Linked DNA regions of Lonchura striata. The protein of the gene in region 4 binds, or shares a complex with, the protein of the main gene of each other region. Links are inferred from orthologs where the notes say so. Each region holds a gene or a part of one and is shown on either strand. Other genes may lie near its edges.

Region 1 (7,870 bases), on a different chromosome or scaffold from region 4:
TTCTTCTAGATATGCAGAAATATTTTCTTGTCCTTTTCATTCCTATCACAAACTTTAATGTCTCTTCCACAGCATGTAATGAGGTTGCATGCACCCTTTATTCAGAAAGCAGCTCCTAGTAGAGTTTATCTGTGTGTTCAAACATGCATGCAAGTATAAAACTACATAAAAATATTTTTTTAAATTGTAACCAGACTACTGAATGGACAGGAAAAGACAACAAGATGCTAAATAAGAGCTTCATTTTCATATGAGGAAACATCAATTAACTGAGTTCTGTACAGATGAGTGGCTTAAAAACTTCTGCCAAGACACTAAGCTGCTCCTTCTTTTTACTTATTACAGCCAACCCTGCCGAAAGACCATAAAAATTGATTTTATGTTTCCGGTGTCTCTATGCTAGCTGGAAGAATATAGATTTTTTTTTTTTCCCTAGGTTTCTGACAAACAGAACCTTCCCTTAACTCACACCTTCACTACACTAACCAACACTGAGCATCTTCTTGGTCATCTCTTACATCTGATCTGTTATGATTAAGGTAGGAGATCATTTCAGATTGCTAAACACTGTTCTATATGGTTTTAAAGGGGTTCTTGCCCATCAGTGTTACACTGAATGCTGTATGCCACTTGTACTGCTGTGGCATACATGGCAACTGATTATTTTTCACATTTGTTTTAAGGAAGTATTAGAACTGCTGTTAGTCTGTGAGCTACCTCTTTAAATTCCAGTACCAACCCTTAAAATGGATTTAGCATCTTTCACATCAAACATTAATAAGGCTCACTTAGACGCTCTTAATGTGAAGGAAAATTTGGCTTGTATGAAATGGCTACACGGGAACACTTCATGCTTTTGCAAGTGCAGGAGTATGATTATTTCCTACAGTATGTCATTATCTTATGCCCTGTGGTTCTTTTTGAAATTATCTCTTCTCACTCAAGCTGCCTACACTATGTTTTAAAGCTATATAGTTTCAATTTATGAATTGTATGCATGCAAATTTTGAGCAAATATACCACAAGCCAAGTAATTCACCACATTAAAGTATATTTCCCTCAACACTACTAATAGAACTAAAAACCCAAAAAGCTTGGAACCAAAAGAGATACATATTTGTCTCAAGACATAAAATCAGGTCATTTGTTTCCAAGACAGACAAGAAAACAGTATTCTAGACACATGTGCAATCTCCTTACGCTTTTTCCAAGCAGGTTTTTTTAAGCATGGCAGGGGATGTCATTTCATATCCTCACAAAGCAAATTAATTCACTGCCTACTTGTCTTTGTACCCAAAAGCTTCCCCCTCCCTTTTTCAGGGACACTCCTAAACCAACTGCCCATCTGTAACTCTAGATGTCAACTCAACAGGGAAAGGAAAGTCCCCTTGAGTCTGCCAGTACCTTCTTCCTTTTCTTAGGATGAAGTAACTCTCCCGGACAATAAAGCAATTTAAACAGCGCGTAACAGATTAGCATGCAACATGGATGGCACACTGCACAGCAGCTCTGAGGATCAATATCACCACTGCAGATTAGGAGTCTACTTGTCATCTACAACATGTATGCGTATCTGGAACTACTCCACTGACCTTTGTACAGAAAATATGGTTTCAGAGACAGTGAAATATTATTGCACTACAACATTTTGCATTGAGTTTACAAGGTAATAAAGACAGAACTACTTATTCACACGCAAATGGCTATTAAATAAGGAAAATAAAACTTGACATCCCCCAGACAATCAAAAGAAATTATTTATTTGGATGCCAACATCTGTCTTGAGATTGTGGCCAAGTGCTTTTCTGTGCTCATTTAGGACTCTACTTGGAAAGCTTTTCAGTTACATCTACCTAGAGATTTCTCTCTACCACTTCCCATCTGACAGAAATCACTCAACTGGGTCTGATGAATAATAGCAAAAGGCAGCTTGTATAAGAGATGATTGAATTACAGATTGTTGAAAGTGCCATAAAAGCTCATTCCAACGACTACATTTAATTTATTTACTATACTGACTACCAGAAGCTAGTAGTCGTTTGATATCTTTATTTCAGAAGGCTAGAAACAAAAGAAACATGAACATTCTTTGTCACTTTCTTACTACTGTACCTAGTGGAGTTTGAATAGGCAAAATTAACTTTTAAACAGAGCGCTGATCCCCAGCTCATACCGTGTGCACCTAGGAACCAGAACTGAACGTACCCAAACCAGAGCAGGGCAAGTGGTACTCGGCATGAAGGAAAATGAAATTGCACGGAAAGAAAACACATTAGCCTGACAGCCTTTCTAAGTAATGACGGAAAGGTTTTCGTGAATTGATACATAAACGATTAGCTGTTGTCCTGCGGTCCGGAGGGGAGACCAGCACCGGGGGCGGGGCGCACCGCCGCGCCCCACCGCCCTCCGCCGGGGCGGCCGTCGGGACAGAGCACCCTGCCGAGGGCGGGGGCACGGCGGGGGCAGCGGCCAGGCGACACCCGGAGAAACAAGTTGGCCCGGCGGCCGCCTCGGCGCCGGCTCCGGGCAGCGGTGCGGAGGGATGGAGGGATGCGGAGCGGACGGCTCCCCTCTCCTGCAGCCGGGGCGGGGGGCGACGGCGGAGCTCCGCGGGGGCGGAGAGCAAGGAGGGCGGCGGGGGGGGGGCGCGGGCGTCCCCTTTGTCTGTGTCGCCCCTCCCGTAAACGCCCCCACCCCCGCCGGGAGCGCCCCGGGGGCGGGCCCCCGCCCCCCGGCAGTGCGGGCAGAGCCGGCGGGCGGGCGGCGGTACAGCCGCCCCCGGAGCATGTGCGCTCCCCCCGCCCGCGCAGCGGGCAGCCCCCCCCGCCCGCGGCGACGCCGCCCGGGCGCGGCTGCGGGCAGCTCCGGGGCGCTGCCTTACCTGGCAACCGGGGCGGGCGCAGCCGGCTCCGTCCTTCAGCCTCTCCCCGCGGCGGCAGCTCCCGGGGCGAGGCTGCGGTGCGCGGCGGGGCGCGGGCGGACCGCCCCCGGCACGGCAGGCAGGCTGCCCCAGCCCCCTGCGCTCGGCGGGCAGGCGGCGCGCCGGGCGTTAAGTTTCAGCGGCGGTGGCGGCCGCCGGCGGGCAGGGCAAGGCGAGGCAGGCGGGGCGGCGGAGGCGGCACGGGGGCTGCGCGGCGCCGGGAGCGCCGCCACACTGCAGCGTCTCCAGGAATCCCTCCCGCGAGAGGCAGCCCATCACCCCCGGCCCGCCGCCCTCATTGGCTGCGGGGCGGGGAGACGCGCTCCGCGGCCAATCGCCCGGCGCCCACCGAGGGTGGAGCCGCCGCGCCGGCCTCGCCCATCCCGCGGCCGCGGGTCCCCGTCCGCCCCGTCGGGCGGGGCCGGGCGGCCGCGGGCGGAGGAGAAGGATGAGGATAGGGAGGATGAGGAGGGTATCCCCGCGCGCGGCGGGCGAGGCTGGCATCCCCGGGCGGCCGCGGGGCTGCCGCTGGCCGGCACGACGCGCTGTACCGCAAGCCCCGCGGCCGTCGGGCGAGCCGGGTGCCCCGGGCGAGGCGCGGCAGTGCCCCTCGCCCGTAGGTCGCGGGGCGGCGGCGACCCCCGGCAGGCGTAGTTGGTACTGTTAGCGAGCCTGCGGCGCGCAGCCCCCTCTCTGCCGCCGCCCCGGGCAGTCGCGACCCAGCGGGGTGAGTCGTAATTGGCTTCTGTGGCTTAGGCGAGAGCAGACTGTATCGCGTGTTCAGGTAAGGACGTGCAAGGGTTAACCTAATTCCCTTGATCCATCCACTCTGAACTGGAGCTTTGATTAACACTGGTCTGCAAAATGTAACTGTAACAAATTCAATTAAGGGAAGCACATTTCTTCAACTTTTAATTAGATCTATCCTATTTGTCTGATGTTTAATATAACATAAAAAGTTGCTCAGGTTCCAGAGGGAAATGGAAATAGATTTAGATGTAAGCTTAGCTTTTAAAAACACAACAGACTAAAGTTCTTTGTTCCTCAGCATATATTACTGCTGCATTTATACCCTCAAAGAGGATAACAAGCAATATTCCTCAAAGAGGAGGAAAACAATTTTACCTGCAAAATTGTAAACACAACAGGGTGGTATTTCTGTATGTGTTTCCCCTAACCTTTAATTGGTTACAGGGTACTGAACATACAGGTTGTAGCTCAGGTTTGATGTGCTACTGTATATGATCCTGCTGGATTACAGTTGTTCTAAGAAAACTTAAGAAAGTAGTAATATATTTCACAACCATTTAGTCAGTTTCTGTTATTACACTGAGAGTGAAAAGTACCTAAAGTACATCTTAATATAGATAGCAGATGTTGGCAAAGAGACCAGCCCGTATGCCATCGTCAGCAGGTAACTGAGAAAGTCACACGGCCCCCAGGCACATCTCATAGGTGACTTATTGTGCTTTCAATAGAACTGTATTCTGCCATTCCCCATCCATACTTTCATGTTTGGATTTGACTCTAAAATTCACAGCCCTTTTCCAGTTCAGTTTTTCTGACCGCATTTTTTCTTAGGTCTGTTATGTCAGAATATCAGTTTTTCTTGTATGGGCACATTAGACCATGAGAGGAGAGAAGGAAAGCAAATGCAAAAGAAATTACATTGTAAAGCTTTTACTGAGCTATGGAAAGGAGGAACAACCATAATTTAAACTGCATATGCAGAAGTGTCACTTGTGTTCAGATTACCCTGTACGATTTAAAAGGATTGCTGTTTTCTCTGTACCAATACAAGAGATACCAAGGATTATTTTCTCCAGGAACATTTATCTGGTCAGTTAAAAAACCCACACATTTCAGTGCTAGTAATTATGAGGACTTGATGCTGAGTTCCTAACAGCCACACAGCCAGAAGTCTGTGGGAGTCTGACATTCACAAGGCATGACACATCATATGCTGTCTTAGTATTTGAGCAAAGACAAGAAACATCACTGAAGCCCAATGGCCCTTCCTTAATGTACAGATAGCAAGGAACAGAAATGCTATCTAGTAGTAGTCCTGAAGAGTATACCATCACTTTTGCACTCTCTGACTGGGGTAGCCCATACATAATTGTTCTGCTATGTTTAAAAAACCTCAAAAAACAAAAACAAAAATCCAAACAAAAACAAAAACCAACCAAACAAAAAACTTAAACCAGCTGTCGAAGTGGCTGGGAGAGTTTTTGCCTATTATTTTCTGAGCTTGGTTGTTTGCAATGAAAGAATTGCTGAAAAGTTGCTTCCTTCAGTTTCTTTCAAGTTCAAAGGTTAATTCATACAGAAAGTGGTTTTCAGTCCTGCAATTTTTATTTCACTACTGCATTTTCAAGGAAATGGGTAGTTAGTATCCAGTCATTATGTTAATTATACCAAAGGAAGCTGTGAGGCTTAAGGAATGACATACATATCCTGAATGGACAAAGATGCTCTAGAAGAGCTCAGGAGCCATTTGATGAATGCTTGGAGTGCTAGCCAAATGCTAGCCTCTAAAATCATGAAACATACATGACTGTATTTGTTATTATTAACTCTTCCATGGTTGTGTTTAGGGAAGAAGAAAGGATCCTATTATGAGAAAAAAGAAGAAACATGCAAATCCAGAAGAAATTCTATTGTAAACCCTATTTTGTTGCTTTCTTTGGCATTTTAATTTTTTTTATGTGTTTTAGTGCATCAGAAGATAATTTTAATTACTGTCAGCCATTCAGAAGTTCCATCAGGTATCTTGCTACATAAAAATGGAGAGCTAGGCTCCATTATATTCTTCATATGTTCTGTTTTTGTTTTAGACTTAGACTGAGACAAAGGTACAGGAGAATCAGGCAAAATTTTGAATAAAAAGCAAGAGCAGAAATGATTCCTTGTTTGTTATTTTTATTTTTCACTTTCTGTATATTGTGACTTCAAGATTAGAAAGCAATATGAGCCATAAAAATTAGATTTGGAAAATGAAAGACTCCTGCTTGATCCATAAAGAGGGAGGAAGCCTGGGCCAAAGCAAATGAAACCAGTATTCTTGGGCCTATCCTGGCAAGTTCTATGGCATACGAAGAGCAGATACTAGAATGGCAGTCACTGAACTGAGGCTAATTCAGGAGCAACAGGAGTTGTTACACATCAAAAAAGCAATCAGGTCTTTGACTTTTTTCCTTTTGTAGGTCACACTTTGTGTGACCAAGTATCACAACTGCCACAAATAGATGTACAAGATGGGAAGTCAGGTAAATAATGAGAGCAAATCACTGGCAGATAAATAAGTAAATAAAACTGGTAGCATGTTAATTTACTTACCAGGTAGATCTGTAAACTAACTGAACTGGCTTTCTGTGTCACAAGGTTACAGATCCTTGTCTTTAACAGAAAAATTATTTTATTTTGTTCTTCATTATAATGTCATTTACTTCTGTTTTGTGCTTTGATTTGGTCTTTTCCATCATCAAGTTAGTTTTTAGAGAAGTACTTTTATGGGAAGATAAAGGAATTGGGTTTTGCTTAGGGAAATGGAACAGCTTTTAAAAATAGGCTCTTATTGCAGTAGTTTAAGAATGTGTTTCTGAAATTTCTTTTAACATATTAATGGCTATTTATTGTTTTGATGTTTTTTCCAGTTTACTGGGTATACAAGGGCTGGTCTGTATAGCTGAGAATTAAACACTTGGAATCCCATTTTGGTGTTCTGTTGTCACACTCTTGGTTTCAGTAAAGTTTACATAATACCTACTGAGTGGTGATGATGCACTTAGAATGAAAGACATGAAAGCAGAGAAAGAAAGCTATGTCCCTAAAGTGACAATTAACCTTCAGTAAAATTAATAAATACTGGAGTAACTATTCAACTATACACAACTAATGGAAGTGTTACATTAAGCAAATCATCTTTGAAGATTATTTTTCTAACAATGTATATGATTACCATTTAGGTAGAGAGAGTGGAGAATAAATGTTGTGGGTTTGTGGTTTTAATTATAGCTAAAAATCAAAGGGTAAAATCAAAGAACTTGTTAGTCCATTCACTGATATTTGTCTCAGTTTGTCATCTGATTTCATTGTTTTCTTCTGTTTGATCTGTACACATCTGCTGCTGCTTCTAAGTTGATTAGGCAGAGATGATCTCCTTTAGTCTGCATTTGTATAGCAGCTGACACTGAGAGCTCCTGCTTTGTGCCCAGGGCTCCTGGACACTATGGCAGCAGAAATGAAAATGAAAACAGAAGTACTCTGAGGGGGTGTTCAAGTGTAGCCAAACCAACTTGCATATGCTTTGCACAGATGTCAGCTATGTAATGCATGAACTGATCTGAGTCAGTGTCAGTCTGTTCCCCTGTAGATGGTGCCCCTAGTTCAGGGATTCTCTTTTGGGTTGTCAGATATGCATTCCTAATCCCCCTCCCCTCTTTGAAAGTCAGTTTTCACCAAAGAGGTGCTCAGGATGGCACTCCAGAAAAAAATACTTTTCAGTTAAGCTAAGATGAGCTGAAGTCCCAGTTTCCTTTTCAGGCACAATCTACTATGTAAAATGACAAACTACTGAACTCTTAGCTTCCAGAACACCCAGATATTATCAATCTTCTTACCTTATGGCTTACTCAATGTAAAATTTCTAATCCACAGTTACTGTATGCATCATGGATGACTGTGTAATAAAAGAATGCAAAATGTCATTTCTAATTTAATTTTTAGGAGTGACCTTGCAAAACAGGTGGAAGATCTGTGTAATGGCAGTCAGTGTTACCTCTGAGGAGAGGGCTGAGACTTAAACAATGTTTTTTCAAATCAGTATGAATTGACTATCACAATGCACATAAGAGAGCACATTCCATGTCTCCAATACAAATTAAGCATAATTCTGTATGGAGAGACTCAAACAAATTGACTTTTAAATGCAAAATATGCTTATGTTTA
Region 2 (7,306 bases), on a different chromosome or scaffold from region 4:
CGGGCTCCCAGTTTCCCCAGTTCTCTCCTCCCCATCACCCCCTCCATACCTGGCTTCACGGAACCAGACGTGCCCCCATCAGTGGCACCCCAGATCCCGAGAGCTGCATCCAGACCTGCCAGGGCTGGAGAAGGGAACGTGAACCTTCCTCAGGCAGTGCAGCCTCACCCGCAGCCACTCCCGGGCCTGGGGAAGGCGGCGGAATTCATCAGCCCGGCCTCGGGAAGCAGAGCCCCCTTCCTCCCTTCCTCCTTCTCTTCCTACCTTCCTTCCTTCCTTCCTTCCTCCTTCCTTCCTTCCTTCCTCCCTTCCTTCCTCCCTTCCTCCTTCTCTTCCTCCCTTCCTTCCTTCCTTCCTTCCTCCTTCCTTCCTTCCTTCCTCCCTTCCTTCCTTCCTTCCTTCCTTCCTTCCTTCCTTCCTTCCTTCCTTCCTTCCTTCCTTCCTTCCTCTCTTCCTTCCTCCCTTCCTCCCTTCCTTCCTTCTTTCCTTCCTTCCTTCCTCCTTCCCTTCCTCCCTTCCTCCTCCCTTCCTCCTCCCTTCCTTCCTCCCTTCCTTCCTTCCTTCCTTCCTTCCTTCCTTCCTTCCTTCCTTCCTTCCTTCCTTCCTTCCTTCCTTCCTTCCTTCCTTCCTTCCTTCCTTCCTTCCTTCCTCCCTCCCTCCCTCCCTTCCTTCCTCCCTCCCTCCCTTCCTCCCTTCCTTCCTTCCTTCCTTCCTTCCTTCCTTCCTTCCTTCCTTCCTTCCTTCCTTCCTTCCTTCCTTCCTTCCTTCCTTCCTTCCTTCCTTCCTCCCTTCCTTCCTTCCTTCCTTCCTTCCTTCCTTCCCTCCTCTCTTCCTCCCTCCCCGGCCCTTGCGGGCTCGGCTGGGACCACCTGGAGCGGTTCATTAGCACCGGCGCTAATTGGCAGCGACTGCAGTGGCAGCGTCACCGCGCTGCGGGCGGCGGGAGGGCACCGAGCCGGGGCCACCAGCGAGCCGGCCCGGGGGTCCCCGCTGCTGCCACCGCCCCGGGACCCGCTCCTTGCCATCCCCCGCGACAGGTCCCCCCAAACTTGCGCACGAAGCCATGCCGAGACCCCGCATTTCCTCGCCCTTTCCAAAGCCGGGAATGTTTCACCCCACGCGGAGCCCCGCAACGGGCTCCGGGCTGTCAAAGGGGCATCCCCACCCAAAAATGAAATTCCTTTGGCACAGCCAGCAGGGCCGGGGCAGCGCAGAGGGAAGCGTGTGGAGGAAGCGGCAGCAAGCGGAGCTGGAGCAGGGGATGGGGTTTGCGGCCAGGCGGCGGCTCCGAGCGCGGTGCTGGGGCTGGGGTTCGCTGGGTTCCCACCCTGCAGGTGCGGGCGAGCAGCTCCCACCGCATCGCCCGGCGCTGCCCGAGGCTGCTGCGGGCGAGGAGCGCCCAGCCGGCGCTCCCCTCCTGCGGGATGCCCGGCCCGGCGCCGGGGGCTGCGGCAGCAATTCCCGGAGCCGCGAGTGGGGCTCAGCCCCACGGCCCCAGGCCGGTCCCGCCCCGCGGAATCCCTGAGGCAGATCTGAGTCAGCCCTCCAGCAGCAGCTCGCAGCTCGCTCCATCCCTCCCGGATGAATGATGCATCATCAAATAGAGCCCAGTGTCACAACATTAACAATATTTCTTTTCAGGCTAAGCTGCAGCCTGGGCTTTTGATACCAGTAATTAAAGCAAATGGCTCATCTGTTCTCATCTCTGCATCCCTGGAGCCAACTGGCCGTGTTTATCTGGAAGCTTTATCTGGTTTTGGGGTTTTATTTTGTTTGGGTTTTTTTTTTTTCCCTTGCAACCTCACGGCGAGGGGGATCAGGCTGATCCACAAACACTCCCAGGATCCCGGGAGGAGCGTGGCACGGCCCGAGCCCAGAGCAGGGGCACGGCCGGGGCAGCTGCCTTTGCTCAGAGCTCTTCGAGCAGGGAAACGAAGGAGCGTTCATCATCACACAAAGACAAATTGCTGCTCCAGCTTGCAACCAGAATTACTAGAAAGACACCAGCAAGAGATATAAAATCAGGTGCCTTTTTTTGAAGAACCCATCCCTGGGAGCGACAGCTTCCAGCAGCCTCAGCCTGATTCCCGAGGCGGTTTTGCCTCCCGGAGGTTCCGGGTTACTCCACAAAGGTTTTTGGTTTTTTGCTGCCGTTCGCATCGCTTTGGTCCATCCTGGGGAACGAGCAGCACCTGCCAGAGCCCTCGGGCCACCCTGAGCCGGGCAGCGATGCCCTTGCAGAGCCCTACCAGGGAGCAGAGCACCCCAAAATGTGCCAGCAGCAGCGCCGGGGCGCTCCCCACATCCCCTGGCTGCCAGGATTCTGGGAAGGGGCTCGGCCTTGGTGCCACCGCAGCACACCCCAGCGACGGGGAAAAGAGACAATTTTGGGGGCTTCAAGCCCCGCAAATGCCCAACACGCCTGGAAGTTGTCCGCGCACGGCAGCACCCAGAGCCTCGCCCCACCCGCACCCACGGGCGCTGCCGGGGACCCGCTCCCCCGGCCACCCACGGGCGCCACCGCGGGCTGGGGGTGTCACCCCCGGGATGCCGCGACTTTCCCCGGGCCCAGAGCGGGGCGCGGGGCCGAGGAGCACCCCCGGACGAGCATCCCGACCCCCAGAGCCGCATCCCGATCTTTGTCCCTGCGGAGCCCGCGACGCCTCCTGAGCCACCCCCGCCACGCCGCTGCTGCCCCGCGGCCACGGCCCGGGGGACCCCCGATCCCCCCTTACCTGGGCCGGGGTGCCGGGTTCGGGGTGCCGGGTTCGGGGTGCCGGGTTCGGGGTGCCGGGTTCGGGGTGCCGGGTTTGGGGGTGCCGGGTTTTGGGGTGCCGGGTTCGGGGTGCCGGGTTCGGGGTGCCGGGTTCGGGATGCCGGGTTCGGGGTGCCGGGTTCGGGGTGCCGGGTTCGGGGTGCCGGGTTCGGGGTGCCGGGTCCCGCGGCCGCTCCCCGCGCACGGCCGCGCTGGCGCTGCGCGGCTCCGGTGGCAGCACTGCGGACGGCGCGGGGAGGGGACACGGGAGGGGACACGGGAGGGGACACGGGAGGGGACACGGGAGGGGACACGGCCGGGGCCGCCCCGCTCCGCGCCCCGAGGAGCCGCCCCCTCCCAGGCGCAGCCGCTCGGACCCTCTGGCTCTGCCCCTGGTTGGGGAGGGGACAGCGGGACCCCCTGAGCTCGTCCTCTCCTCCAGCCCATCCCCTCTCCGTGTCTTTTCCATTCGTTCTCCTCCCCAACCCTCTCCTACCCTCATCTTCCATCCCTATTTTATTTTATTTTATTATTTTATTTTATTTTATTTTATTTTATTTTATTTTATTTTATTTTATTTTATTTTATTTTATTTTATTTTATTTTTAAATTTTTATTTTATTTTATTTTATTTTTACTTTATTTTATTTTATTTTAATTTAATTTTTATTTTTAAATTTTTATTTTATTTTATTTTATTTTATTTTTAAATTTTTATTTTATTTTATTTTATTTTTTAATTTTAATTATCCCATCCCATCCCTCTCTTCCCTGCTCAGGTGAGACCCCACCTGCAGAGCTGCTCCCAGCACAGGGAGCCCCTGGAGCTGCTGGAGGGAGCCCAGAGGGACACAAAGAGGCTCCCAAGGATGGAGCCAGGCTGGGAGAGCTGGGAATGTTCTCCTGGAGAAGAGAAGGCTCCAGGGAGAGCGCAGAGCCTAAAGGAGCTCCAGGAGAGCTGGAGAGGGACTGGGGACAAGGGATGGAGGGACAGGACCCAGGGAATGGCTCCCACTGCCAGAGAGCAGGGCTGGGTGGGATTTTGGGATTTTGGGAAGGAATTCTTCCCTGGGAGGCCCACGGTGCCCAGCGCAGCTGTGGCTGCCCCTGGATCCCTGGAAGTGTCCAAGGCCCGGTTGGACAGGGCTTGGAGCAGCCTGGGACGGTGAAAGGTGTCCCTGCCATGGCAGGGTTGGAATGGGATGAACTTTAGGATCTCACACCCTGCCCACCTGCAGCATCCCCCAAAAGCTGTGGGGGCTGCTGCCCCTCCCCGATCCCTGCAGATCCCACAGCCTGGCAGCCCTTCCCAGCCCCGGGGACCTCCTGGACCACGCCGAGACCTCCTTCTGGCCAAGTCCTTCTTCCTCCAGCTCCATTCCACCACTTCCCATAAAAGGTTTTTCCCCAGTAACCCTTTTTTTTTTTTTTTCTGCAAGTAACCCCCCCATGAAAACCCTGCTTTTGGGGGCATGGCAAGAGAAATCCCCAAAGAGAGAAACCCTTGAAGGACGGAGCTTTTCCCTGCCTCCAGCCAGGGAAGCACGGCAGCACTGCAGGCTGAGTGTTGATCGGCATCAGCTGCATCCTCGATGGACATTTGCTTCTCTTCCAGCCCCAACTGTTTTTATTTAGCAAAAAAATTGCCTCGCTTATGCAAAATACTCGGAGAGAGCAGCACAGGGACTCTCAAAGGGATCTGTCCTGACACCTTCCTTGGAGATTCACAAAAAGCAGCATCAATCGGAAAATCAGATCTAAAAGTGGCTTTCCATAAAGGAAACAAAGCAACACCTGCGCTTGTCTGCTCTAAATCCCTGCCACTTCCACTCTCCTTTTATTTTTTTAGCCCCTCTTTGAAAATAAAAGAGCCAGTTGGAATTTTTTTTTTTCGGAATTGGAACTACAGTTTGGCAGTCTGGCAGATCCTCCAGCAGATCAAAGCAGGGTGGGCTATATATTTATTTATATAGTCATTTTTATATTCATTGATACAGTCATTTATTTATTCATGTATACATTTATTTCTATACTTATATGTATATTTATATATACACGTATATGTTTTTTTTATATATGTATATATATTTATTTATATATTTGTTTTATATTTATAGATTTATTTTGTATTTGTAGATCTGTTTTATATTCATTTTTATATTTAGTTTTTACTTATTTATATATTAATTTTAATTCATAGATTAAGTAATGATTTATTAATTATTAATAAATAATTAAAATTATTAATTTAATTTATATAATATTTGTAATATTTATACCATTATTAATATAAAGATGATGAAAGGTGAAAATAGTTCCAGTGGCAATGGATAAACTCTCGGAGCTCAGGCCCACAAAAACTCTGGATAACTCTGCTGCTGCTGATTCCAAAGCAGGGAAAACAGATCAGGAGCAGGTGAGGCCCTCCCTGAGCAGCTCCAGTGAGTCAAATGGAAAGGACTGATGGCAGCTCAGCGCCCAGGGACTTTACAGAAGGACGAAGCAGAACTCATGACCACCAGCAAGACTTAAAGGAATGATTGTCGCTGTCGAGGCAGGGCGGGAATGAAGAGAGACTCTGACCCAGAAGGCTGTAACACTAAAATACTATTTATTCAAAATACACTGCGCTTTTATACAGAGCTTCACAAGGATCAAATCCATTGGTTCTGAAAACAACTCACCCCATTGGTGTACAGTGCTTGACGCACAGTGATAGAATTTAGCTATAAACAATGTGAAAAACAAGAGAGATAAAGAATTATTTACATTCTTCTGCAGCTCTTTCCCAGGTTTTGCCTGGTTAGAAACTCTCAGTTCCTTTCTTTGACTGAATCTGAGACCCACAGCTGATTATCACCCTCTCCTCTGCACTCTGGCCCAGAATACCCAGAAATTTTCCCCCATTTAGCCAAGAGTGTAAGGTGGGTCTTGAGGAGGCAGAAAATACAAATTCGAATCCCGTCAGGCTCAATGAAGCATTGACCTCAGGTCTCCTATTTGCTGCCTTACTGTTTTAAGAAGGAAATCATTAAAGGTAGCCCGCCGTGACACCTTTCTCTCACTTCTCCAAGGAAGATCCTTGCTCAATGTTCTTTTCTTTTTTTTCTCAACATGTAGCTGTATTTCATTTCCAGGAGAGAATTTGGATTTAGATTGAGGAGACCTTGCTCACAACTCTCAGTCCTGTTGCCTAATTTCATTCTGATTAATGATTAGACATTTTAGACGTTATTAGATACTTTAGATCTAAACACTTTAGATGTTGTTACATATTTATTTCAATTAATTGACATTTATTTTACTTAGTTTTCACTCCTGTAAATCGCTGAGCTGCTTCTCCCACAGATCCCGATGGATCTGCCTCCAGGATCTCCCTGGAATGTGACAAGGACTTTAACTCCTCCTCGGCGTGTCCTGCCCATCCCACCCACCAAGGGCTTTAGAGGGATTTCCTTCTTGGAAACACGAGAAAGATGGGAAAGGATCCATAAACCAGAACCCCAAATCCATCTCCAGCCTCCCAGAGCAGCTCCACGCTGGGAACGACTCCTGGGAAAAAACGGGGAGGAGAACAGAGCAGGAGAATGGAGGAGTGATGGGAGCAGCAGGAGCTGAATCCAGCGAGGTTGTCCCAGAATTTCGGGGATTACACAGTTTGAATCTCCTTTTTTCCAGGGGAGAAAAAGCCAAGGCAAGATTTAGGCTGGAGCGGGAGAAAACCATCCCTGGGATTCGCAGCTGGATCCCCCCCGTTTCACCAACACCTCCAACCCCTCCAGCCCACCCTGAGAAAACACCAAAGCAGGCACAGGCTGGAGGAGACAGCCTTGATTCATCCCCCAGTGAAAGTTAAAAAAAGCTGGGTTAAAAACAAAAAAACAAACCATGAGAAAAGACGAATGGCATTTTCCCCCCTCGTCCCTCTGCTCCGAGGGCTGGGGAAGGGATTTTCTCCTCTGGAGAAGCTGAGGAGAAGCAGCACCTTGGGAGGGTTCCAGGATGTTTTTCACCACCCCCCCAACCTGTCACTCCTCTGCTCCCAACCTGCCAGGGATGCCGGGGAGCTTCCAGCATCCCTCCCTGCTCCCTCTCACCCTGGGTGAAAAATCCCCTTTCCCAGGCACCTCCTGCCTCACCCCAGAGCTGAGAAATCCCACGGGGACCCCAAAGCCCTCAGCAGCACCCCCATGGCCCCTCCCCGTGGTGGCCCAGGCAGGATCTGGCGTGGCAGCAGCTCATTACATCCTTTTAATGAGATCTGTGCTGGTTTTACATCCATTTCCCATTCCTGATAACGCCCCGGCCTATAAAACTGCACTGTTCCCCTTGCCGAGGTGAGGGGAAGAATACATTTCCGAACACACTGCCTGCATTAATTTTGCAGCAAGTGCCATCAAAGATTTAATCTCCAGCTCGTCTCTTGTTAATGGGATTAGGAGAACTTATTTACTGATTTAATTAATTGGCCTGTCTTGTATTCAGCTGCAGGCAGGGGCCCGGAACCTTCCTGGTTTGGGGCTGAGGAGGGCTGGGCATTGTTTCATTTTG
Region 3 (7,380 bases), on a different chromosome or scaffold from region 4:
TAACACCATCCATTCCAAATCTAGGAGAAACCCCCATTTTGGTCAAACTTACTAATAATGATGACGATGATAATGACAACAACACCTATCAATATCGCCCACATCTGTGAAAAAAAGACATACAACACTTACTACACAGCATGCAACAGCACCAAAAGCCCCTCAGGGTACAGGAAAACAGCCCCTGCAAGGGACTTTTAGCACTGGTTGTCAGATCTAATGTAGCAAGCAAAGGTTCTTCAGTCAGCAAGCTTAATCCACTACTAGCACTCAGAGGTGGCAGGCCATGCACACAGGCAAAAAGAGCAATATGACTTTCTCCACATAAAGCCTGTCCCAAGTGAATGCACAAGCTGTTCTGTTACTCACCAAAGATGAATCCAACCTTTGGCAACAGCTACAAGTACAGGAGTCTGAGTGAGCTTCTTCCACTTTCTAATACTTCCCACACATTAATTCAAGCTATGCATTTTTAGCTTTTTCTTCTTGTTTCTCAAAGCCTCAGATTACTGACATGCTTCCCTCTGGCCATTATCAGACAAGATCCTGCCTAGGGCAGCACGGCCGGTAACACAGCTGCTTGTTACTTTAAAAAGTAATGCCATGCTTTAAAAACTAGATGCTGTGACTTAAAAAACATTGGCTAAACATTTCCTGCCTTTTGAAACACAGATGTGACAGCGTTACAGGCGCAGAGTGAGCACACAAGCCGAGGTTACCTTGCAGTTCTTCCACCAATACTTCCTCTTCAGCTTGGCAGCGCTGGTCTCGAACTGGGAAGCCCCTGCTTGCAGGGCATCAGCACGGTCATCCAGCTCTGACAGCTTCTGATCCCGCTCCAAAACCTTGTCCACGTTCACTCTCATGATGTCAACAACCTACAGCAGTTCAACACTTACAGTAAGTGGTGTGCAACATAATCACAGACAGCAAGCAGCTGCACGAGGTACTCCGTGCTTTCTCAGAAGCAGGAGCTATTGCCTTTTAGTATATTCAGCCATAAACTTCAAGAAAACTATGAAATCCACTTATGGCTAAAAGCCCTGAATGCCTGTTTTAAAAAGTCAGTAGTGCTGGCATGCCCTCAGACCTGGGAAACAATTCCTGACTTGCTTCAGAAGGAGTTGAGGAATATAAACATGATAGTAAACCATGTCAAGAAATACTTGCCAGCCTGGCTTTTGGACTCCACAAGAATCACATTTGGTAGCCAGCTCTCATGGCTATAAACAAAGGTTTTTGTCATTACTTATGCCAAATCTTGCACCAAGACTGCAGCTGATGTTTGGACACTGGGAACTTCTGTTTGCTTCCCCTTCATATAATGAAGGGAAAACTGCTCTGGAAAAAAATATCCCTTCTAACTGCACAGGTTTCCTGCAGGAAGAGGCTGACACTACTAGCAGACCAGACTTTTACCTCGTCTACTTGGTGCTGGGTTTGCTGAAGCCGGCGATTGCTGCCAGCAGCCATATTTGAGCTTCCAGGGACATTGGCCGACCTGTGGTAAAGAAAGGCACCATTAGACATCTGACAGTCCTGAAAATGGGACACTGGTATCCATGTAATAAATACAGGGCACTTTCTTACTGCAGAAATGGTGTTTTAACAGCTGTCAGTGAGCACAACTCATGCAGTGTCCCAAACATCTTGTGAACAAATTGCATGCTGTCCCAAGAGGCAGCAGTGGCTTGCTAACACCACACATTGCAATGAGGCAGGGGTCAGCTCCAGCAATGCTCCATAGGCCTCAGTGAGCAATTTGGACTCAGGGTGTTCTTTCTTTCCCATATGAACACAGGTACTAAGTTTCAAGCAATAGTAGTTTACAAAAAATAAAATACAAAAACTTAATACTTATTATAGCTATGTGATTTTCCAGTGACACTTCTGTATTCTTTTGAAATGGTTGATATGGAACAAGAGAATGCACCAGAAGGAAAAAGTATTTGGAAAACACAAAAATTTACTTTTGGCCAGCTTTAAATTCGTAACAGAGTTCTTTTTACCAGCTACAACACTCTGCATCTTTATAACGGATGCAAGAGCTTCTGTACATACTCTTCATTACCTTTTCACCACCTGGCCAGGTTTTAATGCACATCTCTAGAACTATCAGCACTCAATTTCCTTTTCCATGTTCTTAGCTCTTTCACATCAGATGTGAAAGCTTGTTTAGTGCACCCTGGCACTCCAAGCAGCCAAGTCTGTTTCCTGTGTATACACATTTAGACATTGGCCTCTAACTGCACGTAACGAGTGCAGGCACAGCGCGGGAGCCGGGGCAAGGCTCGGAGCCGGCACAGTGTCACTGTTTTGGCACCGGAGCCGGGGCAAGGCTCGGAGCCGGCACAGGGTCACTGTTTTGGCACCGGAGCCGGGGCAAGGCTCGGAGCCGGCACAGTGTCACTGTTTTGGCACCGGAGCCGGAGCAAGGCTCGGTGCCGGCACAGTGTCACTGTTTTGGCGCTGGAGCCGGGGCAAGGCTCGGTGCCGGCACAGTGTCACTGTTTTGGCGCTGCCACCACCCTTTGGTGCCGCTTCAGTGCCAGGTGAACAGCCTCGGAAATGACAGCGCTTCCTGCGAGGCTGCAAACAGAGCAACGCCCCGGTGCCGGGCAGGGCGGGCCCCGCTCCGAGCCGCGCCCGGGGCTGGCGGGGCAGCCCGGCCGGTGCCCCGCTCCCGGCCCGAGCAGCGGCTCCGGCGGGCGGCCCCGGGCTCGGCCGGGCCGGGCCTCGCCTCCGCCGCCGGCCCCGCCGCGCACCCCTCCCGGCACCCCGCCCGCGGGCCGGACCGGGCTGGGCCCTGCTCCCGCCGCCGCTGCGCCCGCCCCGCTGCCCGCGTCCCCCGCTCCCCGGATCGCCCCGCTGCCCGCGTCCCCCGCTCGCCCCGCACTCACATCCTGGCGGTGGGACGAGGACGGGGCGGCGGCAGCGCCCGGGCGGGTCCAGCGGGAGCTGCGCGCGGCGCCCGCGCTGACGAGTCACGGGGCGGGCTCGGGGCGATGGGCGGGACCCGGGCCGGGCTCGGGGCGGGCGCGACGGGCTCGGGCCCGGGCGGGATAGGAACGGGGGCGATGTGCGACGGCCGGGACCGGGACAGGACCGGGACGGGGGCGATGTGCGACGGCCGGGACCGGGGCGGCGATGGACCGGGGCCGGGGCGGGACCGGGGCGGGGGCGATGGGCGAGAGCGGAGCGGGGCGCGGGGCGGAGTCGGACCGGGGCCGGGCCATGGCCCTGCCCCCGCGGGCTGCAGGGGCGGGGCTGCGGCCGCTGCCGGGCGCTGGGCCGGCACCGCCCGCCCCGGGCGGGCACGGGAACGGCAACGGCAACAACGGAACGGGGAGAGCGGCCGGGCACGGACACACGGACAGACACAGACACACGGACAGACAGACATGGGCACACAGACGCACACACTGACAGGGGCACGGACACGCGGGGAGGGACGCACGGACAGACAGACACAGCCAAGAGCGTTCCGTGCCGTTGTCACTCGTGTCCGAGCGCTCCGTGCAGCGCACGAGGGGAGCCGGGGGTGTGTTTGTCTTTGTCCATGTCCTTATCTTTGTCCTTGTCCCCCGCCCTGGCTGCAGGGCCGCCCCGCGCTCGCCGCCCGGTCCCGGCGGGGCTGGAGCCGCCGCTCCCGGCAGCCGCACGGAGCTGTCGGTGCCCCGAGCAGGGCCGGTCACGGTCACACGCCGGGGGTCGGTGCTGCCGGCAGCGCTCCCGCAGGAGCCCCGGGGCTGCTCCGCCAGCGAACACCGAACTCCGCAGGGCACCGGTGGGAGGGAGGCGCTGGCTGCCTTTGCACCACGTATTCTGAGTTATCTTTTATTTTTCCCCTCCTTATCAAACTTTATCTCATCCCGGGCATTTCTTTTTCCCTCATGTTTGGTCTTCAGTTCTCTCCCGCGATGCCCCTGGGGATGAAGGAGGAGGCGCCTTCTTTCAGGACTGGGTCAACCCGCCACGATAGGAAAGAACCCAGCAACTAACAGCTATGTAAGATGGAAAAATGGGAGCGATTTGGAGAGTTAAATGCTGATTTATTCTAAAAGAGAAACGTAATCAAACTTTCTCTGCAGTCAAGAAGAAACTCTTATTGAAATCTTCAGTTGTGGAGCTGGGTTTTGGAAAAGCTTACTCATGATGGTACTAACACAGTCTCTGACAGACCAGATAATTAATTTATTAAACCTGCTTTCAGGTTTTGCCTGCTGGGCTTGCCATTAGTCTGGTACAAGTTTTGTTCCCGAGGACCAGTTCATGTGAGCGGAGCAACATACTTATTAGCGCAACAGTTATTGTGTCTCAGTTAATTGTATCATTAAATGTGACCTCTCAGGTTTCTGCATCAGCAGCCCTCTTGAATTCTGCTGTTTCACTCTGCTTTGTGTACACTGTAGGATTTATTTTGCTACCAGCTCTATATGGTTTCTCACAAAAAACCTTGGAAGTGACTGCCCACTGCAGAGGAACTGCAAACAAAGTTCTGGGGGCTGCACCTGCTCATGGGCAGGCTGTGGACTGTTACATCATAACCTGTAAGAAATCAGATGCAATATTCTTACAAGCAGGTCGTGTAGAGCAGAAACTTTTTTTTGTGTGTGGTTCCTTAAGAGTGACTAAAGGACTACTTTGTTCTCAAAGAAGGATGGAAGAGGTGTTCAGAAGAAGAGACGTGTTCAGAAGAAGGCACACACTTTGTATGGGGAAATTTTCTTTTTTAATTTACAGCAGAAAGAATATAAAGCATTCAGAAAACATTTTCCATATTTTAAGGGCAATTCAAAACATTTTGCATGGTTCCAGCAGCTGAGTTCTTCAACAGATCCATTGATTCAGTGATGCTTTACATGCACAGTTACAAAAATAAAACTTACAAAAGAGAAGACATCTATACTAGTTTTACATGCAAGTCTTGGGGACCCCCCATTGGGCACCAGCTATTGTGTGGAACTGCCATAAGCGTGCAACCAGAGAGGGGGTTCATGTTATATTCTGTATTTCTTTCACACAGTATTACTGCTGTCGAATGTGTTTCACAAAGGAGCGATTCTATTATCAGAAGACAGAAAATCTGGCTCCTGGCACTTGGGAATTTGAATTTTCCTAGAAAGCTGCACTTACTTATCTTAGGTGAAAATGTTAAGTTCCACAACCAAGAAGAGGGTTCGAAGAATCACTTCACTGCGGGGGAGAGCTGCTCCCTCCCCAGTGACACACTGAAGGGTTACGGCCCGACACAACAAAGCACTTGGGAGCTGAACTGGCTCCAAGCACGCCAGGAGTCCTGGAGCTGTGCTGCAGAACTGCCTGCATGCTTCACAGCCAGCACAGGCTTAAACGTTTGGCTGAAGCAGGATCTAGATTAGTAGATACACCACCAGGCCCATGGATCTGGAAGAGTAATTTGAAATAGCTCTGTATATTACTGAATCGTTTTCTGTAAAGACGAGGAGTTAAAACATTTCCACTGAGGTCACTACTCTTGTTTGGAACAGATCAATTCTATATTGTCACGTATTGGTTAATGGGTGCAGTATTTCAGTTTCAAAATGTCAAGAGTTCTTCCAGTACTAATACAGAGCATTTCCAATTCATTCCAAAGGAGATTCTCCAGCGTCTCCTGTTCTGTTTTGGTGTGAGAAGAAAATTTAATGGTTAATGTTCCAATTGCAGACAGTAAATTGAGGCCACGAGGCTGCCCACAGGCACAGTGTGAGCGCCAGGCCATTTGTTTTGCTTTTTTCCCTTTTTTTAAAATTGAATCAGGTCATAAAGCAGCAGTTCAGAAATGTACAAGAGAATTCTGATAATGAGCTATAGCACATCTACTGTAATTCAATGCTGGCAGTGAAAAGAAGTAATTAAAAACAGGTACAATTATAGAAAAGGCACCAAGAGCACTGACCCCAGTTTTTTTGCCACAATCTTTGTTTTTACTCTTCTTTTAAAGACACCAGTTTCAAAGCTTCCTATGTGTGAATATTTTTTGGCTTCACAACAAGCCTTGCGTTTAAACATTGCAGTTGGTGGCCGGGATCAAGCAAGAACAACTATTCCAAAACTAACAATCTCAAATTTACACAAGTTCATTCAGAAATTTTAAACTGCCACGAGTGAGACAAACAGACAGGAGCAGTTTCTGATCTCAGACACATGTACGTGACCCACAAGTAATGACACGGACTTCAGGAGTTTCTTCCCTTACATTCCTGTGTAATGAAGATCAGAACTGGTTCCCATTGTTGAGAATTTGTGACAGTTTTAAATTAGTAGCTCAATTTAAAAAAAATCTAATTTCTTTGGCTCCTCACTATGTGGAAATAGCAATATACCATGACACCCCTACAGGATCAGTTTGCATCTTTTTTTTTTTTTAAGTTTTACTTAATTTTTTAAAATTTTTTGTGCAATTTTTATTACATTTTCTGACTTCCAGCAGGAGATATGAAAATGTGAAACATATTTTCTACTTTCGTACTATTTATTTATTTTTTTTCATTTTATGTTCATTCTAAGTGTTCTTTATTGGAGTGAGTGTATGGTGTTAAGCTAGATACGGTTTTTGTACTCTTATGATTATCTGCTTTGCAAAAGTAACTTAATTTTCTTAAGCAATATTAGCATTCACATTACTTGGCACCATTGGCAAAAAAAAAAAAAGGAAAAAAAAAAGACGGGGGTAAAAAAAAAGAAGGAAGGAATACATAAATTAAACCCAACTGAACCAAACTCCTGGTAGCCAAAATCAAATGTAAACATATCCTTTTTTTCTTTTTTTTTTTTTTTAAAGTAATGTTGCTCTGCCTTTTTTTTCCTAAGTCTAAATACAGTAGCTCTTTTTTGCCATTTAGTCATGCTTTAGCAAAAATGTTCTTCTAAAGAACATTTAAAATAAAGTTTCTTATAGTGAAATAAAGTTTTTGTTTCATTTTACAGACCATAGCCACTAATGCTTTGCTTTGTTCATTTCTTTTTCTTGAGTTCATGCACATATCTCTTTAATATATACAATATGTACAAACAATACATCCACACTCTTCTCGTTCATTCAGACAAAACTATACAAATAATAATTTTATCTTGCCAAGTTATTGACCCTTTGTGAATAAAATATTTAGTAATTAATCAATATATTCCCTTTCAAATATTTTTTTCTCATTTTCCATTTCTACCTTCTATATATACAGAAACTGCCCAGATTTTGATGAAGTAGCCAAAATAAGAAATTTACTGGCCAGAATGCAGCACCACTGATCTTTAGGTGGCATAAAATGTCCAGGCAACATATGTACGTGACTCTGCAAAATGACAAGAGGTTTGACAAGTACATAAGAGAAAAAGCTACATGTTTTACAAATTATTTGA
Region 4 (6,848 bases):
GAACCCTGAAAATCTCTGAAATAAGCGTGTGTGTGGGTATAAATGTGTATAGATGAAAGAGTCCTCCTTATGTTATAAAATGTTATGACAGAGATTTGGGGGGAAAAAATGCAAGAGAAAGAGTAATGGTGTGACAACAAGCCAAGGTAAAGGGAAAACAGTTTCTGCTCTTCATTCCTGAGAGAAGAAATCATTAGCAAACTGAGTCCTACACCATGCCATATATTTTCCATTTTTCCCTGAGGGTTGCTACAAATGCAGCAGCTGTAGCTGTGTGACACATAGACATACAAATCGCTGAAGTTGTTCACACTGACAGGAAAAGAGTTTTGTTTCGTTACCTTATGTAGTTAAAGCAGTGCAAGCACTAGGCAGAGACCATGCTTTATTTGCCTTAGCACTTTAATCTTGTCATTTGTTGCCATGTCTAAAGCATAGGGAGAAAAATGAAAAGCTTTCCTTGACCTGAAAAGCATCTCCTACCTCACTGCAATAAATCTGGGAAGTGGAGCTGCATCTCATTAGATGTATTTTGAGGGTTCGTGCTGGCTGGATTCTGCTGTTCTTTCTTTCACTGCCCCCATGAGTTCAATGGACACACAGCCTGGTCCCGAGAGCTCTCAGAAATGTCACTCTCATTTTCTAGTTAGATGTGGAAAAAAAGTTAAGCTGCATTTATTTGGGGTTGCTATCTAGCTGCATTTGGTTTTGTAACATGCTGAGTTTCTGCAGCACCTCTTGACTTCAGAGGCAGCCTCAAGCTTTTGCTTTTGCCAGTCAGGCCTGCCTGCATCTTTGGTTTGGTCACCTCTGTTATCTTTTTGGCACTCATCCTAGGAACCAAACTCTTCAGCAGTCACCTCCTGGCTGACCTGTTCTGCACGATGCAGAAGCAATGGAAAACCACTGCTGCTTCTTCCTAGGCTGGCTTTTTTGCAGGGATGTGCAGGTGCCTGGGGGCCTAGGAGAGAGTGTCTTCCCCAGCCATTCCCACCGGAGCACACATTTCCCAGATGGCTCCATCCCTCCCCTTGCCACCTGAAGGGGTGGCTGCCCCATACCATCCTCGTGCTGATCACTGGGGGAGCTGCTCCATGCCCAGAGCCAGGACGAGGTGGGGGTGTGGGACAGGCATGTCCTTGCAGATGCTGTGGCCTGGGCTGGAAGCAAACGGGTCTGGGTTAAGGGACTGCTCTGCCACCCCTGGGCAGCGCCGCAGACCAGCCCCCCATTTCCCCCCCTACCTCTGCTTTTCAGCTGGGAACGAAACCAGCAGCAATTATTCAAGCCAAGCACGTAATCTGGCAGATCCCGCGACTCTGGTTTGACGCAGCTACGCAGCTCAGTGTCTGGACACGCAGCCCAATCCCCCTTTCTCCCCTTGTTTATTCGCCCCGAAAAAAAAAAAAAAAAAAAAAAAAACCCCAAAAAAACCAAACAAAAAACCCAAAAAAAAAAAAAAACTGCAGCGAAGTTGCCAACTTGGGACCGCACCGAGGCGTTTGGGCGTCTGGGGTGCCAGGAAGTGGAAAGGACGGGCGGAGGGAACACCGGCGGCGCCAGGGGAGCTGTGGCCAGGAGCCGTGACGGGGCAGCCCGCGTTACATAAGGCGGCGGCTCCGCACCGCTCCGCAGCGCGGGGCCGGGCGGGGGGGGCGCGGGCTGATGTCCCCCGTGTCACGGCGCAGCGCCGCCGGAGCCCGCGGCACGCAGCGCCCGAGGCGCCCGCGGGCAGCGGCGCCGGGACACGGAGCGCGGCTGCGGGGAACCCCGGGGGGCTGCCGGTGGTCTCCGCGGGCGGGACCCGGCCCCGGGGGGACCCCGCGGGCTAGGCGTTATGTAACCCCCGCCTTCCTTGCACAAACACCTCTCCAGGGAGAGGGGCTGGAGTGCCAAACGCCGATTAATTGCAGGAACTGATGTTATTTGCCTTTTGTTGTTGTCGTTGTTTGGTTGGGTTTTGGTTTTTAAATTTTATTTCTCCCTCTTCTCACTCTGAGCTACAGAACCACAACTGCGCTTGCCCGCGGTTCTGTCCTGGAATGAGGGAGCACCGCCGCTCGCCAGTCGGGAATCTCTTCCCAGTCCCGTGTCCGGGGGGGCAGCCCCGGGGCGGGGGGCGCGGAGCCGCAGGGCGCTGCAGCACGGCCGCCTCCGCTGCCGCGGTGCCGAACGTACACAGACACACTGACACGCGCAGAGACATAGACACGGACGGCTCGCAGCCCCCGGTCCCGGCGCGGGGCCCTGCGCTGTCCGCGGTGCTGAGCACACACTCGGACAGACAGACAGACAGACGTCCCCGCTCCGTCTCGCTCGGGCCCGGCGCTGTCCGCGGTGCTGAGCACATGCACACGGACACGCAGACAGACACAGACACACGGACAGACACAGACAGACGCACGGACAGACACGGACAGACGCACGTCCCCTCCCCGTGCCCTCGGGCCCCGCGCTGTCCGCGGTGCTGATGCTCCGTCGCAGCCCGGCGCGCTGCGGGCGCTGCAGTGCTCCGGGCGGCACAGCCCGGGCCGGCCCAGCAGCGCAGAGCGCCCGCACGCCCTTCTCCCCGGTCGGAGCTGAGAATGGCGCCGGTTCCCCTTCTCCGACATTGCCTTCTCCTCCGGCCTCCTGCCGCCCGCGCGGCCGAGAGGCACAGCCCGGCTGCCTCCCCGGCTTCAGCCGGCAATGAGGCTGGCGGCGAAATCGCCCCCTTCTCCCTGCCTTTCTCTGTCCCCGCAGCAGCCCCAGAGGCTGGAGATAAAAAGCCGAGCAGGTCCCACTTTAAACATATCCCTTTTCTCTATTTCATTATCGTCAATACCGCCCCTCCCCCTGCTGAGCCGGTGCCCGCGGTGGTGTCCCACCTTTACCTGGGCTGGCGGAGCGCGGCGCGGCGGGGTCGGTGGGTCGGTGCCGCAGCTGGATGGGAGGCAAGGACAGGAGGCTGCTGACCTCCGCGGGTCTCCTTCTTCAATGGATCGGGAGCCGTGCCCTCATCAAAGATGGCCGTCCGCTCCTACGTCAGCAGCTTTTAATAGCCCTCCCCGGCGGGGGGAGCGGGAGGGGGCAGAGCGGGCCGGGCGGGTTTGAGTCATCGCCGCCGCACCGCTCCCGCAGCCGGCCCCGCCGCCTCCCGCAGCCGCCCCGCCGCCGCCTCCCCGGGGCCAGGGTCGGGGCGGCGGGCTGGGGGTGGCTGCGGGCGAACCGCCCGGGCAGGGGGGCAGGGGCCCTCCCGCAGCAGCGATTTCCTCCGCCAAAGGGGTGGTCCGAAGAGGGTATCCCTCTGAAGTCCCCGGTACTCCATATATGGCCAATCTACGTGGGCTTCTATTTTTACGTGTGAATTCTTCCTTCTCTCCCCTCTTTTTATTTCTCAGAACATCCTGCCAGGGGTCTGGGTGTGTTATTCTGTTTAGTCTCCCTCTCCTCCCCCCCCTCTCCAAAGTCGGGGCAGCCAAACACGAGGAAATCCATGGTTAAAGGACATGTGTTGTAACTGATCATTTGAGGGACAGGTTCAAAAATGAGAGAGAGAAATCAAAAACAAAGCCTGGACAAGTATATGAACACACACACAGCACAGTGAGCACATCCCACTGCTGCTGAGGAAGGAAACGGTAACTCTGTTAGAGGAAAAGTGCCTGGCTTATTTATCATTAATTAATTAAAATATTCATTCTGAGTGTACCTAATTTGGAGCAAATGGAGCTGTCTCCAGCGTGATTTCTAATGGGGAGGAAATACTTTCATTTCATACAAAACAGTGTATGTTTGTAAAATTTATCTCTTAATGGAGATCGTGATGAAGGTTGGGGATTGCAGTCAAAGTGCGATGCTCTTTTTCATAACCTCACTCATTCTTTGCCTTTCACCCCACAAGCCTTGGCTTTCATTTATGGAACCATTCAGACCAGGAGATGAGCAACGATGCCTCCCTGTTCCCTGCCTCAGCCTCTCCTGTGAGCAGTGAGTGAGCCCTGCCTGGGTTTAACTCTGACACGGTGTGTGAAGGCTTTTCTGAACAGTCTGTGTTATGGCAGAGTCAAAATATCAGTTGCACGTTAGGATAATTCCATCCTCATCCTCTCTTCTTGCCCCCCACTTTTGCCAAGAAGAAGACAGAAGAGAGGGAAGGCTTTGCAGCTGTATTTTGGAGCGCGTTCATCTCGTGTTATGGTTGTATGGGCATGGGGGAGGGACGGGGAGGGGAGGGGAGGGGAGGGAGGTGCGGGGGAGAAGGAGAGAGAATTGCGGGTGATTCCTCCTACCCTGCTCTGTAGTTCCCCACAGAAAAACGTGACTGTAGATCGTGCTTTGTGAGTCTCACCCTCTTCCTACGAAAATATGTCCTTCAGTCTCTTTTGAAAGGAAGCAGTCAAAAGTTTGCTAAATATACGAGAAGGAATTCTCAGTCGAGATGGGCTTCCTGCTGCATTAGAGTATCTAATGAGTTGTGCACATGGAAACCGCAGGGAAGGAGAGAACCTGTCATGTTCCCGGGCTGTAAACACAGCCTGAGATTAACACTGTGCAGACATCCCCCTCCAGGTGAGGGATCTGGAGCAGCAGCCTGATTGGGAAAATGCATTTAGCGTCATAAACGGCAGTTTGGGAAAAGAAACCTTTGCAGGCTGGCTCCCGCAGGGGTTAATTGTGCCCAGCACTCGGGTGAGGTGTGCACTGCGGATGGCAAGAGGAATCCCAAAGCGAGCCCTGCTCTGGAATCCAAGCTGCCCATGTGCAACTTCCTAGCACACAGGGAAAATTAAAAAGGAATTCTCAGTCAGACAGCTCGGTTGATGGGTGCTTCAGAAACAAGTATGATTTTCGAGACAGCAATACTAGCACTTATTATTAATTCATATTAACGGTAGGTAAGGGAAGGATAAGAGAGATTATAAACTGTTGTTTTGGCTAAGCCACCAGCCCTGCAAAATGCTGGCTGGGTTTGGATTCAGCCCAATAATGCCTCGGAGAAGAATTTCAGTCCATTGGATACCAGCAGGGATGAATTTAGCTCTTTGCATCAAAAGTCAGGGAGGAAAATGCAGTGAAGGCAAAATAAAATGCAGCATAACTTGGGGAAAGAGATGTAAGGAATGGTAAAAGGAAGAGACAGCAGAGAGGGAGTGGGAGGAGGATAAGAGGTAGTTTTCCAGTGAAAAAACTGGGATATCGCATTAAAAAAAAAAAAAAATTAAGATTCATTTTTCAGCTCTGCTGCAGCAGAAATCACATAGTTTAATAAAACAACAAAGGGCAGAATCATTAAATAGATCACAAACGTTGCCCAATAAGCTTAGTAGGAACAACTACCTTTCATTCTGAAAATGAGCAAGGGAAGGGATGAACCATGTGCTGTTCAGGAATGTGGCTGCCTCTATCCTGGGAGATGCAGAGGGGGGCAGGCTTTTGCACCGCAGCGCCGGAATTTCTGTCGCAATAAGTGCTACTAAACAATTTTAACTGATTCTTTAGCATCTTTTAAGGATAATTAAAAAAAAAAAAAAGAGAAAACACATGAGGATTTTATTGACTCTATCTAGTACTATTTGAACACTTGTTTCACACTGTGTACAGGGGATATGTGAGAAGAGAAACCTATAAATGAAGTAGGACAAGAGAGAAAACCGGAATTTGGTCTAAGAATGATTCAGCTCCTTCTAATTTATTCAGACAAATATTCAGCAGGCTTAACAAGCAGTACCTGTGGGCACAGCCCATGAATAATAAGGCAGGAATATGCTCTCCTGCATGACAGCAGCAGGATGTGTGCTCCCCCATCACTGGCCAGGAGCCAGAGAAGGGCAGAACAGGCACAGCCTGCAGCAGGTTAAGGGGGGAAAGAACGACACCTGCTTTGTCCATGGTTTGAGATCTGTGGGCAATGGGAACTTCCTGGCTGCTCACAGCATCCCCTCCAGTTCCAACTCGCACTCCTGTGTGCTGCAAAGCTGGGCTGTTAGGCAGCCAAGTGAGGGGAGCACCAAAATGCTCAAAGTGCCACCAGATCCTGGATGTTATTTCCTGCACTCTCTTAGAGTCAGTTATAACACAAAGACTGCCTTTAGTCTCTCCACCTTCCTCACACAGTTTCTTTTTTTTTTTTTTTCTTTTTTCAGCAGAGAGGGAAATATCTTGTTTATCCAAATGCTGCTCATCCTGGCCTCAAGTATGTGGTGGGAAAGAAATTGAACTAAGTATAAAGCAAATAAGAGAGTAAAAACGTACCTGCTTAAGCACTGAACATTTCCCAGCCTCTCATATTTCTGCCTGTTCCCAGGCTGAGGTGCTGAGGCATGCCCCAGTCTGATATGGGCTGTGAAATAACAGTCTAAGTATGGAGCCCTTTATGCAGAACTCCTAATTACTTTCTGTCATTCACTGCTCTTTATGTAACTCTGAATTTTGACCATCAACAGTACTTGCATTTATCTGCCCCAGGCTGCTTCTGATTAAATTGGAGGGAATGGCTGGGCCTAATTTTTCCCTGCATGTTCAGGATCTCTAGATACAGTTAGGCTGTGGGCTTTTTTAAGGACCTGTCTGTGATCAGGTACTCCAGTTTAGGCCAAACCAAGATTTCTCTGAGGTTTATGTTTAAAAATACAGAGATTTAAAATACAATTGCAACATAGACCTTTGGAGATGAGTCCCCACTGATTTCCTGATCACTCTTTTAGATGTGCAGAGTCAGATCCTCAAAGGTGTTTCCTGAATAGTTGCTTAAAGAGCAACCAGGACTTAAATATTTGGTGAGTCTGGGTTCCACTGCTGCCCCCAGCTCCCCCTGCCTTGGCTTGGTCCTTCCACAGCTGTGCTATAACCGTGTCATTTCCTTCAAT

What was found.
Region 1: the proteins of SNAP25 (region 4) and SYT1 are in contact, whole or in part, in a crystal structure (PDB 5KJ8), measured with the Rattus norvegicus proteins. The link is inferred for Lonchura striata from reciprocal best matches to the Homo sapiens genes SNAP25 and SYT1. Residues at the interface, in NP_112253.1 of Rattus norvegicus: Lys40, Asp41, Ile44, Leu47, Val48, Asp51, Glu52, Glu55, Gln56, Arg59; in NP_001028852.2 of Rattus norvegicus: Cys277, Arg281, Lys288, Val292, Leu294, Glu295, Asn336, Tyr338, Asn340, Arg398, Arg399, Pro400, Ala402, Trp404.
Region 2: the proteins of SNAP25 (region 4) and RPH3A are in contact, whole or in part, in a crystal structure (PDB 5LOW), measured with the Rattus norvegicus proteins. The link is inferred for Lonchura striata from reciprocal best matches to the Homo sapiens genes SNAP25 and RPH3A. Residues at the interface, in NP_112253.1 of Rattus norvegicus: Glu38, Asp41, Ile44, Arg45, Leu47, Val48, Met49, Asp51, Glu52, Glu55; in NP_598202.2 of Rattus norvegicus: His617, Ser618, Ala621, Ile648, Ser649, Ala650, Lys651, Gly652, Leu655, Tyr659, Leu662, Lys663, Lys665.
Region 3: the proteins of SNAP25 (region 4) and VAMP3 are in contact, whole or in part, in a crystal structure (PDB 5KJ8), measured with the Rattus norvegicus proteins. The link is inferred for Lonchura striata from reciprocal best matches to the Homo sapiens genes SNAP25 and VAMP3. Residues at the interface, in NP_112253.1 of Rattus norvegicus: Asp147, Leu150, Glu151, Val153, Ser154, Ile157, Leu160, Arg161, Ala164, Leu165, Met167, Gly168, Ile171, Asp172, Gln174, Asn175, Ile178, Asp179, Ile181, Met182, Ala185, Asp186, Asn188, Lys189, Ile192, Ala195, Asn196, Ala199, Thr200, Met202; in NP_476438.1 of Rattus norvegicus: Ser15, Arg18, Leu19, Gln21, Thr22, Gln25, Val26, Glu28, Val29, Ile32, Met33, Asn36, Lys39, Val40, Glu42, Arg43, Lys46, Leu47, Glu49, Leu50, Arg53, Ala56, Leu57, Gly60, Ala61, Gln63, Phe64, Ser67, Leu71, Lys74.

Annotation. Positions count from the first base shown.
Region 1 is NC_134607.1:48,122,959-48,130,828, reverse strand, and holds the start of SYT1 (synaptotagmin-1), read right to left. Parts: upstream 3,011-7,870; 5' UTR 2,882-3,010; intron 1-2,881. UniProt on the Homo sapiens protein: Calcium sensor that participates in triggering neurotransmitter release at the synapse. May have a regulatory role in the membrane interactions during trafficking of synaptic vesicles at the active zone of the synapse.
Region 2 is NC_134620.1:11,540,199-11,547,504, forward strand, and holds the start of RPH3A (rabphilin-3A), read right to left. Parts: upstream 3,008-7,306; 5' UTR 2,736-3,007; intron 1-2,735. UniProt on the Homo sapiens protein: Plays an essential role in docking and fusion steps of regulated exocytosis.
Region 3 is NC_134626.1:4,507,285-4,514,664, reverse strand, and holds the start of VAMP3 (vesicle-associated membrane protein 3), read right to left. Parts: upstream 3,007-7,380; 5' UTR 2,903-3,006; coding exon 2,901-2,902; intron 1,502-2,900; coding exon 1,420-1,501; intron 879-1,419; coding exon 720-878; intron 105-719; coding exon 53-104; intron 1-52. UniProt on the Homo sapiens protein: SNARE involved in vesicular transport from the late endosomes to the trans-Golgi network.
Region 4 is NC_134605.1:23,467,421-23,474,268, forward strand, and holds the start of SNAP25 (synaptosomal-associated protein 25), read right to left. Parts: upstream 3,016-6,848; 5' UTR 2,874-3,015; intron 1-2,873.